Kluyveromyces lactis: one gene and its partner. The protein of the gene in region 1 binds, or shares a complex with, the protein of each later gene. Links are inferred from orthologs where the notes say so. Each region holds a gene or a part of one and is shown in the gene's direction. Other genes may lie near its edges. The genes, in order: CAC2 and ASF1.

The links.
Region 2: the proteins of CAC2 (region 1) and ASF1 are in contact, whole or in part, in a crystal structure (PDB 2Z3F), measured with the Schizosaccharomyces pombe proteins. The link is inferred for Kluyveromyces lactis from reciprocal best matches to the Schizosaccharomyces pombe genes pcf2 and asf1. Residues at the interface, in NP_594450.1 of Schizosaccharomyces pombe: Lys503, Arg504, Ile505, Ala506, Pro507, Thr508, Pro509, Val510, Tyr511; in NP_588267.1 of Schizosaccharomyces pombe: Phe28, Asp37, Leu60, Leu61, Val62, Gly63, Pro64, Ile65, Pro66, Gly68, Ile69, Asn70, Lys71, Phe72, Val73.

The regions. Positions count from the first base shown.
Region 1 is NC_006041.1:982,272-985,787, forward strand, and holds CAC2 (Cac2p), read left to right. Parts: upstream 1-1,397; coding exon 1,398-2,879; downstream 2,880-3,516. Other genes in the region: KLLA0_E11155g (HAD domain phosphoesterase family swiss army knife RNA repair protein), read left to right, coding at 1-425; CUE1 (Cue1p), read right to left, coding at 3,251-3,516. UniProt on the Schizosaccharomyces pombe protein: Acts as a component of the histone chaperone complex chromatin assembly factor 1 (CAF-1), which assembles histone octamers onto DNA during replication and repair.
Region 2 is NC_006041.1:1,330,474-1,333,491, reverse strand, and holds ASF1 (nucleosome assembly factor ASF1), read left to right. Parts: upstream 1-1,563; coding exon 1,564-2,397; downstream 2,398-3,018. Other genes in the region: KLLA0_E14917g (uncharacterized protein), read left to right, coding at 23-1,114. UniProt on the Schizosaccharomyces pombe protein: Histone chaperone that facilitates histone deposition and histone exchange and removal during nucleosome assembly and disassembly.

The DNA.
Region 1 (3,516 bases):
AAGACACCAATCAAGCGTATCCGTTCTCACTTCCGATCATAGTACCATTAGGTTCGTTACCTGGGTCCCAAGTGGAAATGTTCCAAAATCACAACTCCGTGACACCAGAAGCGTCTACAGAAGATTTTAGGAAACTGATTGGTGATGCTACATGCTTCTGTCCCAACAAAGTCATAGACTGGTCCATCCGTGAAGCAATCTCTTTGGAATCATCAAGATTGGCATTTTCCGTCGGCTCGACCCAACAACCGGGAACCCATATATTGTTCACTTCGGACTACTCAGATGAAGATATGCAAAGTGTGATGGACCACATCAACAACAGGGGGTCTCTTGCTGAAATAAACCACTCACTACCCAGTTTCTCAGCAATAGCTATTCCAAAATACCATTATCTGGCAAAGACAGCATGCGACGTTGAATAAGTACTAGAAACAAGACGTCAGACACTAGATCTGGTTAACGACAAGGACAAAAAGAACAAGAACATACATACAAACATAAACCCAAGGCTATAATAAATAATTTTAAACTAAATATAAAATTGTGGGGAACTTCATTTGTATTCCAATCCAAAGGGTATAGAACTGGTTCTCACGAACAGATCTATCATAAATTGAAATAATTGTAAACAAAGACTCCAAGAGGATGTTCCTTGTATTTCAAAGGACCCTCAGATGCACATTTCATTGGTGCACACCCGAAGTACCACACCTCTCCAGTTAGCAGTTCATTTAAGCACAATAACGGCTCCAGTAGTCTATTGAAAGAAAAGTTTACTGGGAATTTGACTGATGCGCTGAGTAAAATTCTCCTGAATCTCAACGCATTGGTATCTGCTGATACCACTACAAACTTCCCAAGTATAAAATGTTGCAATAGATGCAACAGTTGATCTGATCTGATCTGTGAGTACAGTTTCAGACAGCTCGAGCCTGAGTTATGACTAAAGTAATGGTGACAGATCTGAAAATTTTTTCAAACTGACTGAATTTATATTGAAAAAAACTGTTATTTCAGTCTACTATAGGGCTATTATATTGAAAAAAAGAGAAAAGACAGGCGGAAGGGGGTTGTATGTCGTGTTCACTACCTTTATTCAGTGTTGGAATATTTCTAATGGCATAAGGTTCCCATCATGCAATGTATATATTCATTTAAATATCCAATTTGCTGCTGTATCGCTGATATTCTTTCCTTAAGAAATCGAATTCCTCAGTAAAAGACGATACACGTAAACAATCTGGAAAAAAAAAGAATATCAGGCATTGAAGGGAAAGGTAACGTTGATCTAAAGAGTTATAACGAAATTTGTTAACGCACTAGTAGAGTAATTCTGAGCTCATAAGATAGGACTAGTTCAATTTATCTCAGTTCGAGTAGAGAAAGTGGAAAAAATGGTACAATCCGAGAGTTTACAGATATATTGGCATGACTCTCATCCGATATACTCGTTATGTTTTCAACCCTTATCAGAGACTAACCAGAACACTAGACGGTTGTTCACTTCGGGAGGTGACAATAAAATCAGGGTCTGGCAATTGAATGAGAGCGAAAATGATGGGAAGATAGAGACAATTGATTTTCTTTCGTCGTTGACGCAGCACGAACAAGCTGTCAACGTTTGTCGATTCAATAAGCAAGGTGACACGTTAGCCACGGCGGGAGACGATGGGTTATTGTTACTATGGAAGAAGAACGAGACTATGGTAAAGGAATTTGGTGTAGATGATGATGAATTCCAAGATTTTAAGGAATCGTGGGCTGTATGGAAGCGATTAAGGTCAGGGTCAGCCTCGAATGCCGAGATTTATGATATTTCATGGAACCCTCAGGGAACGTGCATAGCTATTGCATCTTTGGATAACACCGTACGAGTGTTCAATGTGGATCAGGGAAAAGTGGTAGGACATATAACGGAGCATAATCATTACGTGCAAGGGATTGTATGGGACCCTCAGGGAGAATTTATCGTATCGCAATCTGCAGACAGATCATTGGCGATTTGTAAGATGATTTATGAGGACAACGAAGTAAAGGGCTTACAATTAGTGAATAAAATATTAAAATCAGAACTACCAAGGAGGAAAAATCCTGGTGAAAAAGAACTCGATTTTGATAAGTCGAAGGTGACTTTCTTATTCCATAACGAAACCCTTCCGTCATTTTTCAGAAGGCTGTCCATGTCACCATGCGGCAGTCTCTTATGTGTACCAGCTGGGGTCTTCAGAAATGATGAACAAACGGATGCCTCAAATAATAACCCAGAGTACGCGAATGCCGTATATATTTACACAAGGGCTTCTCTAACTTCAAATTCAAACAAACCCGTGTTTTCACTACCCTTTCTACAAAAACCGGCATTAGTGGTCAAGTTTAATCCTATCATGTACGAAACCGCGTCTGAATGGGTGAAAGCACCTTATACACTGGTATTCGCTGTAGCAACTACGAATGAAGTGCTGGTGTACGACACACAAAATACCAGTCCTATAGCGATCGCAGGAAATTTGCATTATACCCCCATAACAGATCTTGCGTGGAGCCAAGACGGAACATTACTAATGATATCAAGCACAGACGGGTTCTGCTCATATATTCACTTCACAGACAATGATTTTGGCACACCTTTGAAAGATCAATCTATACCAATCTTGACGAAGGAACTCGAATCACAATCGCAATCACAATCACAACCAGAATCATCACAAAAGGCTAGTATCGTAAATCTTAGTACCGGTGCCGCCGAAACTCCAAACCCTTCACCAGCTAAAAGATCGATCTCGCAGCTTGTCTCAGAAGCTGCAACCACAGTTGGAAAGGAGAAGCTCAAACGCAGGGTTCAACCTACTCTCGTCACATCAGATCAACCTAAATAGAACTAGATTAGTTTATAGAGAGGGAGATGGCGGAATAACACGTGACTTTGAACTGTTCTCTACGCAATAATTACTGTGTATAGTAGTAAGTAATAATCGCCGAGTTAAGATTCGAGACACCAGCCGATTGCCTTATTGCCAAGCCCGTGACAAGAATCAGGGTGTTGGCAGTTCTAGGAGGTAGAAACAGAAAGGTCTGGGAAACAATATAGAAACAAAATAGGAAATGCAAAAAAATGGTTAGTCACGTGATCAACATTTCTCTCTGGAAAGACATCTAGCTGTAAAGGACACACTCTAGCATGTAATTGAGAATGGATTTCATTTACTGGTATATGTACGATTTATAGATATCTACACAATTGTACCTATCATTTCAGTAGAGACTGTAGGTATTCACTGTTTTCCACCTTTAGTTCCATACTCTTTCTTGCCTGCCATACCATTAATCTCTTTCTTTCTTCTATGGAAAGATCGTTGGGATTCAAGTTTGAAAGATCTTCTTGTGGATCCACGTTGAATTTTTTTAGCAGATTGTCAGCTTTAATGTTGGATCTTTTCCGTGGATCTGTAGATGTGCTATTGTTGTTTGTATTGTTTCCTGTAGTTACAGAGCTTCCGGTCGATTGATTTTGAC
Region 2 (3,018 bases), about 350 kb from region 1:
CTTCTCTTCGCCAGGTTACAAGATGCCCCCCGTGGTTCTGCTAGGAGTCGTGGCTGCTATCGTGGCTAATGCCTTACAGGCATTAGGACTCGTTTTCCAACGGAAAGCTGAATGTATTGAAATGTTCCACTACAATAATTCGGAACTTCTTTCCCTTCATTCTGAACTGAAGGTACCACCTAGATCAATCGTTTATAGGAATAAGAGATGGCAATTGGGGTTTTCGCTTTTCCTTTTGGCTAATTTATTCGGTTGTGTCATTCAAATAGCTACTTTGCCCTTGATCGTATTGGCTCCCTTACAGGCATCTGGCCTGGTTTTCAACTCTTTATTTTCCCATATGCTTCTACGAGAACCGTTCCCCCTGATTCCCACTGGTTTTGTTTGTGCTGGTGGTACCATCATGGCTTCAATGTCATGTATGTTCATAAACACTCCTTTGACGCATACGTTTGAAGAGTTGTGCGAATTGGCTCAAAGTGAAAAATTTATTCGTTATTTTGTCGGTACCAACGCTTTAGCTATCATGTCTATTGTGGTGGGTGTTTTCGGTGTCGGGAAACGTGTCAAAGGGTTTTCGCTTGTATTTGCTAGTGGTATATGGTCAGCTCATGCTTTACTCATTGCCAAATGCGTGTCGAACGTTATCGTTACTGAATGGTCCATCTCTTTACATATGGTCTTGCTCGTTTTGGTATTGGTAACTTTCTCGTTGACTCAGTTGTATTTGTTGAACGCAGGGCTTTCTCATCTTTCTACATCGATCCTTTATCCGTTTGTGTTCTCCATCTATAATTTGACTACAATCTTGAACAGTACAATGTTCTATCACGATTCATTGGTACCGCATACAGCCGAGATTTTATACACAGGGCTTGTGTTCGGTTTCATAGTGCTAACCATCGGAGTGGTACGCATTTCTGCATCCATCTACTACTTTGAAGAATCTTTGGTTCACGATTCGAAGTTTCTCTCTGAATTGGATGGCTCTCATTCACCATCATCGTCTACTTCCTCTGCGGCCGTGCTATCGTATGGCTCGCTCAATAATGGAAGACCTTTGTCGCAAGAATTCGTACAAGAATCTAATACTTATACATCGTTGACGGTGTAACAAAAAAAAAAGAAGGGGAAATGGCCGTGCTGCGGCTTCCCCTCTACATTGCATCTTCCTTCACCTTGAACTTCAATTTTACATAAGGTATGTATATTCACTTCTATATCTCTTTTTTTTTTTTTGTTTCATTCAATAAAACTTTTGATCGTATTATTATCGAGCTACTGTTGTTAGAGTGTTATCAACCTACAGCAGCCCTTGTTGATTCAACGTTCTCTCCTACCGGTCTTTTTCTTTGTCTGATTGAAAACTTCACGCGACGCGCTTTCTTTTAAACTTTTCAACTATTCAATATAAAGATAGAAAAAAAGATTATACATCACATCACATAACCTTAACAAAAGCATTGCTCTAAGAACAAGCTTTGTTAATCCAGTGACTACGTATCAAGGCATCGGGAGAGTTACTGTAGGGATCATTATATTAGTTACAGCGGTTTTTCGGTCATGTCTATTGTATCACTTTTAGGAATCAAGGTATTGAACAATCCAGCCAAGTTCACAGACCCTTATGAATTTGAAATCACTTTTGAATGTCTTGAGCCATTAAAACACGATTTGGAATGGAAATTGACGTATGTTGGTTCTTCTAGATCACTTGACCATGATCAAGAATTGGATTCTATCCTGGTGGGTCCTATACCCGTTGGTATCAACAAGTTCAAATTCGTGGCAGATGCACCTTCACCAGATCTGATTCCTGCTAGTGAATTGGTCAGTGTTACTGTGATTTTACTATCGTGCTCTTATAATGGTAAAGAGTTTGTAAGGGTTGGGTACTACGTAAACAACGAATACGATTTGGAAGAATTGAGAGAGAACCCACCTCAGAAAGTGCCTATTGATCATGTGGTGAGAAATATCCTTGCTGAGAAACCAAGAGTTACTAGGTTTAATATCGTTTGGGATAATGAGGGTGAAGAAGAGTTCTATCCTCCGGAACAAGAAGAGCCTGAGGAAGAGGAAGAAGAGGAGGAGGATGAGGATGAGGATGAAGAGGCAGATGAGGACGCTGAAGAAGATCTTGCAGAAGAAGACGATGTAGATGATGGTGAAGGTGAGGAAACTGCTCCTGAAAAGAAGAAACTGAAAAGGGATCCAAAGAAATCTACTGCTTCTGACGTTAAGAACGACGAGGGTGAATCGCAAGCGGAATCTTTGGGACCTGAAGAAGACGAGGAAGACGAGGAAGAAGCGGAAGAGATAGACTTAGAAAAAGAAAGTGATAGTGAGAATGATGCAGATTTGCCTACGCCGCAGGATACTACCCAACACAAATAATAGTAACGGTTTCCACGTCCTGGCCTCCCGCGGCGGCCTCCCAAATTAACGCACTTTTATATACCTTTCATAAGTATCGTTTCAATCCCGTTTGTAACATTGCTGACCAACACAAACCGGTACTCTTCCTCACGTCGATGAAGCGTCCAAAAAATCAAGACTGCATCAACTACTAGCTTGGAGGGAAGGTCTTTATACGCTTCGAATGCAATGTTGTCGTTCAAGACAAAAAAGAAAATGGACGAGTCCGGAGTCGAACCGAAGACCTCTCCCATGCTAAGGGAGCGCGCTACCAACTACGCCACACGCCCGTAATTTCTGAAAAAGTACATTTTTCGTTCCCCATACCGAAAAGAGAAAATCCTACCGTTTTTATCGTCAATCCGGCTGGGAAAACAGTAAACCCTCCAAAAGTAGCAGTTGATAAGGTGGTATCTCTCTAAAATAGCAGTTTCACAGCAGTTCAATCCCTGTATATTTGGACTATGGATGGGTCCTTTAGCCAGCATTGTAGTCAAGGATGAGTTACTCAACGTCGGGACATATTATGAGGTAAATAAGATTACCCGGAAATTGGAGACTTTCGGAACCTGACAGAGATATAACAGCAGCTTCTTTGGA